2 linked regions of the Struthio camelus genome follow. The protein of the gene in region 2 interacts with the protein of the main gene of each other region in a biochemical or structural test. Links are inferred from orthologs where the notes say so. Each region holds a gene or a part of one and is shown on either strand. Other genes may lie near its edges.

Region 1 (7,668 bases), on a different chromosome or scaffold from region 2:
GCAGCAGCCCACAGGGAGGCTCTTTACATCTCAGCAAGGGCTTTTCTCCTTTTCTCTTTGCTGACAAGTAGCATCTGAATCCTTACAGGACAGGAGCTCACGCGATACTCCAGGTAGGATCAGCTCTTAGGGAAAGAGAGCACGTCCTTCCTTGCCAGCCGACGTGGCGATGCCAGGCACATCCCCAGGTGCCGGGGCCAAAGCACAGGGGTGCGAGAGCAAGACCCGGCCCAGGAAGCACAGCTCAGTGCCTAAATGTAGGTCAGCAGCAAGAGGCCACTTCTGTTTTCGCCTGCGGTTACTTGCAGGAGAGCTGTGGCCTGTCCCAGCTGCAAACTGACGTTCGGGTCAGTCCCACATCTGGACACTTACACTTCTGCTCTTCCTCTGGGACGATCCGGTAGACCTTGTAGGGCTCAGAGATGTCCAGCTGGGACCTGTCTGTCACCTCCTCAAAGTCAGGACTCTTGTTCAAGGCACAGCGGAGCCGCGTCTTCCAGGTGGCTGGCTCTGCTTTGTCACCTTCTTTGAACTTGCCTTTGAAGACGGCCCAGGCCTAGGAGCAAAGCACAAAGCCCAGAGCTGAAGAAGCAGATTTGAACGCCGAGGGCTAACTGGCTTGGACGTGCCTCTATGCTTTGGAAGCAGAGGTTCTTGCACTCAGATTTAAAAGCCCCAGAGAGCTTAGACATTAAGTCGTATGCTCCAAATCTCTGCCAAACAATTATGCCAGCCTAAGTGAGCCAGATTTAGCCCAGTGCCTTTTATACCACAGCTTAAACTAGAGCCAGGATTGTAACACATGACTTCACCCCTGCACTGACAGATGAGGGAAAGCTGTCTGGGATACAAGGAAACCCATCTGAAGTAGTGATGGTTTTCACGATCTGTTAACATCCAAATTAAAATCAGAATAAACGTCTATTTCCCAGCTTCCAAGTAGTAAGTGAAGGCTGGTTTATTTTAAGATTCGAATGCTCTTTGAATTTTTGGTAGAGAGGAGGGGAAAAAATGGGAAAATACATTTTCCCACCAAATAATGAAGACTTTTACATACACACACATATATTCAGATGTCTGAATTCAACACAGCCTTGCTGTCTTCATAGCTCGGCATTCCTGAACTAGCCCTGAATTAGCTGTTACTGCCCTGAAAGACAGCTCCACCTGCTAGGGGAGACATTTAGAGATGCAAGTAGAAGGCAAGGGGATTCCTGCAAAAGACTTTGACCTTTTGGGTTCAAGAAAGGCTTTTCCAGTTTCCCCCCTCCCCAAAGTATAAAGTCTCTCCACCCGAGGAAAGCTGACCCTTCCTTCCTTCCCCTAAGGCCTTTTTGTCGATCCATTCTTTCCTCAAAAAGTCTCGTGGGAAGATTAGACCAGGTCAAAAAGAGCATACTCAGCTCCTCCTCACAGCAGACCAGAATGAGAACATGCTGAAAATGAATCCAAATCAGGCAGCTGCCAGAAAAGATCCAAACAACCCCCACACAAGCCCTCTGGAGATTCATTCCCACATAACGGGACGTGGCGAGGCATCTCCTGGAAGGAGCAAATCTGCAAAATCTGCAGAAACTGAGGATGTTTATCACCGGCCAAAGGCAAGTCCGTCAGCAACAAAAAACAGCATCACGGCACACAGGGATCAAGAAAACAAGATCAGCCATCCTGCCCTACCTTGAAAATAGAGGCATCCACCTCCTGGTTGTAATCCTGCTTCCCAGCGTGTTTCCAGGGGATGCGGAACATGGTTTTCTCCTCGTTTTCCCAGATCAGCCCAGGGTAGAGCTCGCTGTCGATCTGCTCAATCAGCCACTGCCGGAGCCGTCTCCCGCCGTTCCTGTCGCACATCCTGGAAGCGAGACGTCGCCGGCATCTGTTAAACCACCCCGAGTAATCCCACCTCGTTATGCGGGGATATCTACTATCCCAGCCCCAACGGTGCTACCGTGGCACGGAAAACCGCACAGAGACACAGTGACTTATCCGTTAGCACTGGAAAAGAGCTACTACATTTCCATGTTTCTCTAGAAAGAACTAGGGTACGGATGTGTTTTACCATGTTGATATGTATTTTTAGCCAACATGACTACAAGCAGTCCCTGCCACCAGAGCAGGGGATCAGCCTGCTAGAGAGCCTGCAGACGGCAATGCGATTTCCAGGAGAGGGGGGGAAAAAAAAGCAGCAAAGCAATTTTGGTACAAGTGACCACACTCTGCTTTAGTCCATCATGGTTGCACCTGGAAATAGCAACGCCTGCAGCAACAAACAGCTTCAGGCTGCTTACAGCTTCCCTCCTTTTTAAGGAGAAAAAAATACTGCCTATATATATATAGGCAGTATCTCTGCAAGCGGCTTCTAATAGCCCCTTAGCAGCACCCTCCCCTCCTGGAAAACAGCTTTCTGCAGGGCCATCATCTGCCCCAAAGCCCTCCCGGACAGCCCGAGGCCGGGACAGCCATGCTCGCTGGTATCCGTTTCCCCGGATTCGGGCACACCAAGAACAGCAGCTGGAATTCCCCGTGCCGGCAGCCACGCACGCGGCCCGCCAGCATTTCCGCATGGCATCTTTGATGTGATAATTCCTCCCCTCGCGCTGGACAAGCGCCTGCAAGAGAGATAAGGAAGACGATGAAAGCCCCAAGCAGCCCGTTCAGACCCTCCAGAAGCGCTGCTGAAAAGCGCCTCTATTTGAGACGGCGTAGGCATGGCAACAATAGCATGCTGTATTTTTGGAGGATTTCTTTTTTCTTCATCTGAATTACTTTAAATTCCTTTCCCAGCTCCTTTGATCAAAGCCCATGTGCTCCGGTCGCAGAAAACAAAATGACTCTGTTTACTCATTTTTTTGGCTGTGTGACATGTCGTGCATGAGCTACAGAGCCAGAAATTAAAGAGCCTGGTTGTGCTGTCACCTAAACAAGTGACGCTGCACAGACTGTCCTGGGGTGGATGGCCATTTAGGTCCATAAGAGACAGAAACCAAGTGCTCTAAGCTATCGGCACACTCTGCCCTTTAGCATCTCTTGCAGTGGCCCAAAGGGCAGGATTTCTGCATCAGATCCCCCCACATCCCATGCAACCCCCTCCCTTTTAGCGGGGAGGGGGGGGGGAAGTAGGATTAAGTCACAACTCAAAGCAAAAGCAGCGAGGACTTCAGAGTCAGCTCATTTTTCTGCACGCAGCCCAGTGCTATACTTAGCAGCTGAGTTTCCTCTTGCTCGCAGGACTCCAGCCCCAGCGCTGTACTGAAGGCGACCGGCGTCCCCAGCCCGGTGCCACCCGATCGCGCTGCCAGCTTCGAGCCAGCTGCGCCTCAGCCAACGCCGGTGTTGAGGGTCGGCTTTGCCAGTACGCAAAGAGCTCACGTACCAGCTCTTCAGAGCTGACTTTGCACAAGACAGATAGGAAAAGGGAGAAACAAAACACCTAAAACCTGCCCTGATCCCGCAGTGCAAACCAGCTGCAAAGCACCAAGGAGGTCCCAAGTCTACCTGCTCTGCACGCTCAAAGTCAACAAAAATTGAGCATATTTGTCCCGAGATCCTCCTCCCCATTACACACGCACATCCTGCCCAAAGCAGCAGTTTCGTGGCCAAGGTCCCCTCTGACCGGGAAGGTGCTTCAGGGCTGCGTTTCCAGGGCGGCCGCCGGTCCAGCACGGCGGGTAGCACACACCAAGGCGCCTGGGGTCACACAACCACATCCTCTCGAGCACGGCAGGCCCACGGACAGACAGACCCGTGAGACAGAGCCACCCTTTCTGCAGACTTGGGCTCGTTTGGAGCAAAGGTGACTACGTAGCTATGGAGAGCCCGCAAGAAAAGCGCACCCAGGTTACTGAGCTGGAAGCAAAGCATCAAACCCAGCCTGACCAGGTGCCCCCCCATCACAGCAAGACCTGCAGGGACTTCACAGCACGGACCACGTCCAGGACCTAGCAATCATGTAAAAGCAATTTGCAGCACACACCCCAGCCAGCATCGCCAGCTGAGCAGCCCTGGGACGTGGAGGAGCGTCCCTCCGCCAACCCTCCGGGCCTTTGGGAGAAGTCAGGAGATTCCCAGCACTGGGAGGGCCCAGAGACGCATCACTAGCGGTAAAGTAGGTTAACAATGCTCCAAGTCGGAGGCACGCTCTCCCCACCCACCCGGCCTGTGGCTTTGAGTTGCTTAGTTTTCTCCTTCTCTAAGTGTTAGGGGACTCTATCCCCCTCATCCCCTTCCCCCTCCCCCTTTTTTTTTTTTAATAGCTACCCCATGGGGCAGGGAGAGGAGCAGGATGTTCCCAGGACGCTCTCGGCACAGCCTGGGACCTGGACCTTGCCCTGCCCAAGGCTCCCATCAGCAAAGCACCTACCGATGTCCATTTTTCCATCTTGGCCACCCTATTCCTGCGCAATCACAGGCACCACCAGCTTCGCTGCCAGAAGCTCCAGCACCGCCCCTGCCCTTTAGGGGCTGGTTGGCCCCTGCTTTTAGGGGCAAGCACACGGCCACGTTCCAGGCTCCCAACATCAACAGCCAAAGCGACATGGGGGCACAGCTCCATGTCCCAGTGGCCCCTTCAGGAACCCGGTGCCCCAAAGCGCCCACAGGAGCATCTACCCAGAGCTACAGGCCGTTCGCAGTGGGCTTCTCGCACCAAACAACTCACTCCGAGTTATGCTTTCTAGAAAACGGGATGAATTAGAAGAGACTCCCATTCAAATGGGTATTTCCTAAACCCTTCATTTTGACTTGTTTCCATCACTGGCAGAGGACAGGGCTCCATTTCCCCTTGCCAAAAGGCTAGGCAAGCTCTTTGGCACCAACGCCTGCGACACAAGGTGCGTGACAAGGCCTGACCGCTGGCTTCCCAGACGCGATCGTACCTGCCTTCCCCAGGCAGTGCCTGCATCGCCCAGAGCCCACCTGGTGCCGGCACGCCGCTTGCTTGCCGCCAGCCCAAAGCAGAGCCCCGGTGGCGTTGCTGGAGCCCGGCCCCGCCGGAGGGCCGGGGAGGAAGGCTCCGCCACCCTGTGTTGCCCCATCTCCACGCAATGCCCAGCAAGACTAGGGTGGCAGTTTGCATCCATCCCTGCAGCCCCGGGTCCTTTGCTGCTTCGCTGCCCCCTCCCCAACCACAGAGCATAGCCCTGGACCTTGCGCCAGAGCTAACTCCCCAGCCCATGCTCCGGCTGCATCCTGTCCTTCCCAGCTGGCCCTGGGGTGGCTTTGCCCAGGATCCCTGCACCACTCAGCACCAAGCAGTCACAGGCCTCCCCTCCCCACACAGGACTGCAGGAACCAGCCTGCAGCCCCCGTGTCCCCAGCACCCTGCATCCACATTTCACCCAGTCCCAGTGCCTCAATTTTGCACATCCCCAGCTGCAACTCTAATGCCCCACAACCTCATTTGTGCAACCCCAGTGCCATGCAACCCAATTTTGCACATCCCTAATGTCCCACATCCTCATTTTATGCATTCCAAGCGCCCTGCACTCCAATTCTGTGCATCCCCAGCTGCATCCCCTAATGCCCCACAACCCCATTTCATGCACCTCCAGTGCCCCACATCCCAACTTCACGCATCCCGAGCGCCCGACATCTCACAACCCCCAAGCACTCAGCACCCCACATCCCTTGTGTCCCTACAAGCTCGCATCCCCTCCTCTGGGTCCCCTGTCCCCGGCATCCCTCACACGAGTCCCCAGGGCTGCCAGACCCGCGGCAGTTGGGGGGGGGAGGGGGAAAGAAGGGGGCCCCGATCCCGGCCGCTACCTGCCGGCTCCGCTCGCTCCGCACCGCACCAGCGCCCGCGGCCGGGGCGTCCGCACCGCATTATAGGGGCGCAGGGGGCGGGCCCGCGGCCGCCCCGCCTTCGCCGCCCGTCCGGCCAATGGCGAGCCGCCCTCCCGGCCGGCCGGCCAATGGCGAGCGCGCGGTGCCCGGCGCTTTCTCCGCAGCGCGCGCCTTTCCGAGAAATCAGGCTTGGGCGCCGGCGCGGGGGCGGCCTCGACGGCGCGGACCCGCACCGCACCGCCCCTCACCGCCCCGTCGGGCACCCCCCGCTCTTACCCGCTAGGAGGCATTTCTTCTGCCTCCTATCCGCGCGCCCGCACCAAAACCTCCACGGCCCTTTGCAGTGCTACCTGCGGTGCCTATACCCCCGCCCGGGCCGTTTGCAGAGCTTTCAGGCTATCTGCCGCCTGGGTTCGGGGCTTTGCTGTCTCCCCCCTCCCCCCTCCCAATTATTATTTATTTTTGGGATCACCAGATGACACACGCATTTCTTGGAAGAAAACCATAATTACTCCCCCGTGGGTAATACAGCGAAATGGGAAATGTATGGCGCGGTACAGCTGGTATAATGAAAACAATGATCTAAGGCACACGACCTTTACTGTAATTTTTAACAAGAAACTGCTGTACTAGCCCATCTTTTTAAACATCCAGCTGATCTTAATCAGACATCCCTGTGAGATGTGGGGAGAGTCAAAAACACCCCCTGCAATCAGATCCAGTTAAGACGGTTATTTCTGCTTTCAACGAGAGCTGAGTTAAGCGTTGCAGTTGGGGTCTCCCCCAACCAGGGACCCGCCGTCCTGCCTCCCCGAACGCCCTGCACATCCTGCGGCCAGCAACCAGCGTGGGAGGCAACGGCAGGAGCTGGTCCCAGCTCTATCTGATGTTGAAAATCAGAGTTTAAAAATGTTTCTTTTCAAAAAGATGTGATATGTTTGGGATATTTTAAAGGGGTTTCCTATAACGAAGCCTGTCGATCCCTTTGTCCCATCTGGAGACCAAGGAGATGGAGGCAGAGAAGTAGGACTAAATGCAATCCTGCAGCCAACAGGGTTGGTCCCACCACCTCTGGCTTCATTTTGGTTGCACGACTTTGTAGATAGCCTGGAAGTAATTGCAAAGAAATTCAGAGAACCACACAAATAACAAGCACAGGGAAAATCAGAGCCAAAGCTGAAGTGGCTGCGCTGCTTCATACCACGACCAAATTATTATGCCAAAAGGACTGGACTCCCTCATCACGTCGGCGTGGTTTAATAAAGCCCTGTATGCCAAGGGCTGCGGTTCACGTTCCTCGCTCAGCTCAGCCCTCTCCAGCTGCGGCGCAGTGCGCAGGGGCCTTAGGGGCTGCCGCGCTCCTGGATCGCTTTCCCTAGATGTGCAGCCCACTCCCCGCCCGGCCCCGCTGACGCGGCAGCCGACACGATGAGGAACCCCGGGCAAGGTGGATCCCGGCGGCAGGAGGGCGATCACCGAGAGGCAGGAATAACAGCCTCCCCAAAACCCAATTGCAGCTTTTTCAGATGCTTGGGCAATCCGCCTCTGCGCAATAGCGCAGGTCCCGCTCCCACAGCGTGGGAACCGTGGCGCTGGAAGGGGTGGGAGATGCCCTGGGGCAGCCACGGGCTTCCCGACAGCCACTGGCAACGCAAAGTGCTGAGACAGACCCGCCAGGGCAAGCAGTGCAGCACAGAATTTCTTTCAAACTACTTCCCTGGGTGAGAACAACCTGGTAAGCCCATTTGCACTTCGCTAGAGCAATTCCCACGTGCCAGAGGCACCACCAGGCTGGCGATATAGCTCACAGAGCACAAGAGAGCTGAGCACTGAAGCGGAGAGCTCTTAGCAACATGGAAATAAGAAGAAGTGGAAATTGCTGCA
Region 2 (6,973 bases):
CAAGGGAAAAGGCACAAAACTATTTGGGTAGAGCATAGCTGGCATTGGTTGAGAGAGATACAGAGGATTCAACTGAATAACAACTTGAAAATTCCTATTGTTCACTTAAACTTTGTCAGATGATTCCAGGTGATTACAAATGCATTGAATTCTGATCTTTTTTTGTTATCCTGACATAACTATTCGTTGGCATGTGATTCAGAAATACTCCACACAGTTTCCAATGATGTGCTGCTGAGACAAGTTTGAAGGCCAAGATTAACCTATTTCCTTGGAAAAATTTACAGTATAACTATTTTAGAAAAGATGAGTATAAATATTAACATGAGCACTCATTGGGCCAGCCTCACAGGACCACCTTGGAGGTGCACTTATGTGAAACAGAATGCTTATAAGGTACATTTTCGCTCTCATACAAATATATCTCCATTCCAAGCTGAGTACTACAGGTGGCTACTTAGGGATTCACAGGTAACCTGGGGGCCTCTTTAGAGGAAGGTGTTTGCTTTATTAGTTTTCTGCCCAGTAGCACAACTGATACAAGATTCTATTATGTATTAAAAGACATGGGCTCAGTTTGCAGGACTTTTCCATATAAAGTTCTTAATCTTCAAAGAAAGATGCAATAACTCTTAAACCATTTGAGTGGCACTTTTCAAACGAAGGTTAAGAGTCTTCTAGCATAGTCAAGAGGAAGGCAGTTACCAATCCACCCTCAACTGAAAGGGGAGGGGCAGAGGAGGGAAGTAGTGCTTCACAGAAACCCTGTGTCTAGAAACGGGCTAATGTCGCCCCTCTGAAGAAAGTCCCAGGAGGCACAGACTTTTATAATGATGCCATGTGGGGCTGTAACTGTCAGTACTCAGATCAAGTACATTTAAAACAATTTTGGAAGTACAAAACACAAAGCTTTCATTTTTGAACATATTAATCACAAAAAAAACCCAAAACAAATTGCCCTGTCAAGCATTCCTATAAGATGTGATTTCATTTTCACTGCCTGTTACCTCATTCACCTGAGCAGAGTTCAGCCAGAATACTTTTCTACAACAAAAATTAGAATATGAGCCAGACTGTGTTGGATTTTCACTCCATTTATTCAATCTATGCGCTGAACTTCAAGAGTGAAGAAATGGGACACAGAGGGTGGCTATGAGGAAATGAGTAGACAGAAAATGAACATTATTAGTAAAAATAATGGGAGATGCTAGTGGAGGACAAGATTTTTTCTTGTTTTTTTAAGCCCAACAAATAACATATTCAGAAATCTTTATGTAATGTTTTCATTTTCTCAGTTTCTTTTCAAATTCTTATCCTGACATATTTACAGTAGATCCACTGGGTAACTTGAGTATTTAAGAAAACAAAAGAAGTTTCTTAGGGTCTTCTCACCCTGCGGGTGAATAAAGGATTTCGTGGCCATGAGCTGATGAACTGCTAGAGTAATGGATTTCACGCAAATAAGTATTTTTTTATTCAATGTGGATACAAAACATGAAAGGAATTCAAAGGGCCATCTTTCTGTATAGAAAATAAAGAAACGTGCCTTTAGCTTTCATTAGATGGGACAAGACAAAAAGAAAGCATGATACAAATTTGATTAGAGTACTCTTGGAGTTGCACTGTCTCTTACTCTCTTTTCCGAACACACATAGCAAATACCATATGTCATCTACCACGTAAAAGGCCAAGTAAAACACCTTCTCTGACCATCTTTTCAGCTACTACGGAATTAGCAAATCTTGTTAGGGCCTATTTTACCCGTTCTATCTTGAGATGTCCCATTACAGTTTGTTTCTGAACAGCTGGTTAGTGAGATTATATACTTCACAAATAATAATCCCCAAACTGACCACAATGTAAAAGTGTAAAAATGCTGCAGAGCTAAAGAAAGAACAGAAACACTGTATAAACATACAGAAAAATTTGTAACTAGGAGAAAATATCGAAAGACCCAATTAAGGGCCATTTTATTTTTGCTCTCGCCACTTCACTACTTGCCTGAAATAGGAAAGTTTTCAAGTGCATCCATATATGTTCAAAATGATTCAGGGTTATTTCCTGGCTTATATTTTAAATAAAAGTCACAAAATATGCAATGTAAAATATGAGCAAGAGAAGCTAGAGACTAGAATTCTATCATTACAAAGAGCACAAAGACCTGAAGTCTGCAAAATGTAAAAGCAGCATTCGGCAACTCTTCTCTCATAGATTGGTAGATATTTAATACATAAACTATGTCAGAGTCTCAAAACTAATTAATAATTACAACCTGAAGCAAGACTTGGCCTTATACTGCAAAGGCAATAAGGAAGAAAAAATTTTACTGGCTTGCTATACGTATACCCTACAAAAATACCATGAGTTTAATCTTTGAAAATAACTGGAGATCAAAATCAGATACAAGTTTAGGGAGGAAATGTTAATTCCCCATTCATTGCAACGTTGTCACTAGCTTTATATATTGCCAACTTCCTTGCTGTACAAATACAGACCAAAAGAGAGACATTCTCAAATAATAAAACCTAGTTTACTTTGTCTTTTGCTACTGAGCCCAATCATCCATATTAGGAATAAACCCCATATACTCACAGGGGGAATGAGGGGAAATCCTTCCATTTTGCAAGCTTGCAACATTCAGCCAACTTCTGAGTGAATTTTTCTTAATTCAGTTTTCAAACATCCAGAATAACTGACTTAAAAAATCACATGAAACAAACAAAAAAACACAACGAAAGTGAGATCCTTGGACTCTCTGAAGTCCCCTTGCAGTAATGGATCTCAGGATTGGAGAAAGACCCTAACAAGTTTTCATAGTTTGCCCTAATAGGCTCTGAGGTGAACTTCTTCCCGAGTTGTATCTGAAGTTCCTGATTTTATCAAATGTCTGTAGAAGGGAGATAGCCCTTGGGTCTATCAGTGCGCTGTGACATCACAGCTTTTAGCCGGTTTGCATAAATCTCATTTCAAGGAGCTGCGGCACTGTAACAGGAAGTCTGCCCTTAGCCAGATCTGCCATGGGCAGGTGCTTACTTATAATCAGCAACCCAGAGCCCAGGCCTACTACCAATAAGCAAGCATACGGGTACAGTGTTCTTACTGACTGTGGAAGACTATGTGCTTCCCACTGGAGATGAACCATAATGATGTCGCTGCTCTCGGGTTTAGTGATGTAGCATAGAGCTACAGTCCTGACAACTGCTGTGAGAATAATGCAGTGGCACAGACTTGCTTTAATGATAGTCTTATGCTGGAATGAAGTGGCAGAAGGGGAAATAATTAGCAGAAGGGGAAAAAAGAGTATACAGTCTCAACTATCATAGTCTTTGGTTTCTACAGAAAATTAAAGCTATGCCAGTGCGACTTTCTTTACAAACTTGTTTATAAAGTGAAATAGTTCAGTGAAAGTCACTGAGTCCTCTTATTTGCTTTTTATGATTTCTTTTCTAGGTCCTGCAAGGAGAAAGCAAGTGGGCAACAAGTCCTATGTCATGGCCTCTACTTATCCCAGAAGAGTGCCTTTAACAGTGAGTAGAGAACAGAGCTGTAGAAGTGTATCTGAAAAGTCAGATACTGAAATTTCTCTTTCTTCTGCTCTTCTTCTTATGTGGTGTTTTCCCATCTCTTTATCCTCCTGTTTTGCTTGCATTTGGCTGCACTGAACATGTGCCTTTCTTACGAATGGTTCTGGCAGAGGCATGAGTGAGTGGGCCACAGTGCAGGATTGAGGGGCTGGGCCCTTGCAACAAGGGAAGAACTCTCTCACTCTGCAAAATGCTTTCTTGCTTTGCAGTTAGTTACTAATATTTTGGAAAAGTGAAGTTTCTTTGTCTGGGTTGTTCCCCTTCAATCTATGCCCATGTGCCACAGGTTCTGCTTTTGAAAGTAGCCTGCTCACCACTCACCTGGGTCTATGTCTGAGGGGGAATTTCAGCCACTGCAAACTTCCTCCCTCATACACTGGTAAAACCAGAGGCCACTCACAAGTTCCTCTCATTCCCCACCCTAAGGAACCCTACAAGCAAACCGTATTAGCAATGGGATAAGATTGAGAACATGATGGGAGATTAACTCTTGAAGCCCCAGACTGAATTTCATCAGCATTAGTTGATCCATATGCATTTCAGTCCTATTTTACTGATACCAAAAATCTTCACGTTAACCTAGAAATGAATAAACTGCTAAACAGTCCAGTTTTGTCTCTGAGGTAATTCTCAAGTCTCTCTTTCGATGCCAGCCTAGCAGATACCAGGTTTACCTGGCGGAACAGGAGAGAAGCAAAATAAAGTATTGATGATAAAAATCAATAAAAACAGAGCAGAAAGGAATGAACAGTAACATAAATAAATCTTAAAATGGATAATTGGATAATAGATGATAAAAGTCATTGTGGCAATTGTACGTATATTAAAAATGCTATTCTGAACAGAGAAGACATCTGACTCTTAATACACTGAAATCTACCTTAAACAGCTACTGGAAGGCATAAAAATGTAGTGTGTTCCAGAGAGGGTCTTTTATTAAAGTGTAACATAACTATATTTAATACACTGGAGGATATTTCAATGCTGTCTCTTAGCACAGGAAATTACCTAATAAGGATACATACTTTGCACCAGCTTTACTGTACTTAGGGACCAACATTAATGACCAGGAGTAATCATAAACATACCAAGGTTATCAACATAAATAATCAAATTGATTCTCTATGTAATGAATTAGAAGAAAATAAGACATCATAAAGCTTGAGGAACAGCAGGAAGTCCAGAAGTTGAATTAGTTTCCTAGGAAGGAGAGTATCTCCATAAATGGAAATGCTAATAGTTAAATAAAATGCTTGTTTACAGTACTGTATCTGTATAGGAACATTACTAGTAACAATCTTGCTAAAATTCAACCTAGATTTAACTGGGTTTTTATCCCCTGTTTGTCATCATAGAATTTTCTCACCCTTAAAAGAATGCCTACTTTTGGCCCAGGTCCTTGCAGTGCTTTATTTGATGACTTACACATAGAACAACAACATATGAAATTACCAAATTAGTAGAGAGGTGCTTATCAGATACAGCTTTAATACATTCTTGAACTACAGAATCTAAAAGAATAGTTTCACTGTTGTCTATCAAAATGCCCATCAAAAATATCTGAGTGCATATAAATAATTACCAGACTTTTTATATATGTCTTTTTTAGCCTATCTCAAGTCATTTTTATCACTTTTTTTTTCCCCTCTCTTTATAACTTATGTCTGAAATTCCAGGGTCTCTGTTAATAATCTCTGTTATTTACCCAATACCTAGCAGTTCACAAACCAATCCAGTTCCTATCCTGAGATGCTGTAAGGTTTTACTTTAAAAATAATATTTTTTTAAAAATGGAAAAAACTCAAACATGTTAATGAAGGAGAGTGTTTATGCAAATACATTCATCACTTACTGTAGTGAGATGCTTCCAGATTTGTTTGTTGTAATTCTAAATGCTTACCTTTATTCTAAAACATTTTGGTATGTCTTCAGTGCGGGGGCAGATTAGAGAGGCAGATATTGATTTAATTAATTACAACAGGCGGAATAAAGTTGCCTGGAAAATAGTATCAGTGATGCTGATTCAGGCAATAAGAAGGTCTGGCAAAAAGCATAAAGGTATTTACTGGTGATGAATGCTGGCAGAGCAAGTAGAGGAAGAAATAAATGAGATGCAGGGATGAGAACTATGTAGAGCCTTGAGGATGAGGACCAGTAGTCTGAACTTGATGCCAAAGCAGAATGGGAGCCAGCAGAAATTCTCGGAAGGGAAGGTGGCAGAAGAAGATGAGTTTAACAATATTGTTTGGAATAAACAGGAGGAAAAAGTAATTCGACCCAAGATACATGAATTTCTAAGCTATACTCTGTATGATGTTGGTGCTCCTCACAGAGTGTAATCTGACCTTTAAAAAGGCTTTTAAAGTAGGCTAGGGATCCTTTTCCATGATGGGAATTTGGGGGACTGGAGAAAAACCTGCTCAGCTGAAAGATTAAATTTCTGAAAACATTTAACTTTCATAGGACGAGAGGCAACAGCCACAAACTGAAACACAGGAAGTTCCATCTGAATATGAGGAAAAATTTCTTTACTGTGAGGGTAACTGAGTGCTGGAACAGGCTGCTTAGAGAGGTTGTGGAGTCTCCTTCCCTGGAGATATTCAAAAGCTGTCTGGACACAATCCTGGGTAATATGTTCTAGGCGATCCTGCTTGAGTAGAGAGGTTGGACTACATGATCTCCAGAGGTCCCTTCCAACCTCAACCATTCTGTGATTCTGTGATTTTAATCTGAGTTATTCTCCCCCTAAACATCACCTCACTGTGTGCCTCAGATACTTCTGAAGGCAGTTTTTCCCCTACCTCTACCCATTTATTCTTCAAACTATTTCTAACCACAAGCTACCAAAGCAAAAGGTTTTCAACTCACAGCCACATCACAAAGAGGTCCCTTTACCTCAAACCTTGTTTGGTGCTCACAAGGTACTTTTTCTCCCTACTGAAACCACATAAAACATCACTCATCCTGAAGCCTCTTAATCAGAAACAGGTGTTTACACAGACTCTGCTACTGAGTTTGCTTGTAACAGGAAGATCAGACCTCTAAACAAGAGATCCCCTTATATCTTGCATATTCTTCCCAGAACTGTTACTGTTGAACTTGTTTTACCCAGAGATCGCATGGCTTGTGGGTCTTACGTGTCATCCTTCAACCTTAACATCCACTCAGATGCCATGTGGGGTTTGCGCTCTTCTCTTAAGAGCCTATGGATCTCTCTCACTGTGGAATCTGTGGAGTCAGGGGCAGTCTTCTGCATTTAACTTTGTTACATATACGACTACTGAGTTGGAAGATATGAGTTGAAATATCTTTGTTGCATATTTCCATAGTGAGAGAGTAGGAACTAGAAAGGAGCTGCTGCAAGCTACCAGCTGATAAGAATTTATTAC

The links. The genes of interacting proteins can lie anywhere in the genome.
Region 1: the proteins of SPI1 (region 2) and IRF8 form a complex in vitro, tested with the Homo sapiens proteins (3 studies listed by BioGRID). The link is inferred for Struthio camelus from reciprocal best matches to the Homo sapiens genes SPI1 and IRF8.

Annotation. Positions count from the first base shown.
Region 1 is NC_090951.1:3,629,730-3,637,397, reverse strand, and holds the start of IRF8 (interferon regulatory factor 8), read right to left. Parts: upstream 3,023-7,668; 5' UTR 2,805-3,022; coding exon 2,767-2,804; intron 1,853-2,766; coding exon 1,678-1,852; intron 557-1,677; coding exon 373-556; intron 1-372. UniProt on the Homo sapiens protein: Transcription factor that specifically binds to the upstream regulatory region of type I interferon (IFN) and IFN-inducible MHC class I genes (the interferon consensus sequence (ICS)). Can both act as a transcriptional activator or repressor.
Region 2 is NC_090946.1:39,185,372-39,192,344, reverse strand, and holds the start of SPI1 (transcription factor PU.1), read right to left. Parts: upstream 3,018-6,973; 5' UTR 2,638-3,017; coding exon 2,593-2,637; intron 1-2,592. UniProt on the Homo sapiens protein: Pioneer transcription factor, which controls hematopoietic cell fate by decompacting stem cell heterochromatin and allowing other transcription factors to enter otherwise inaccessible genomic sites.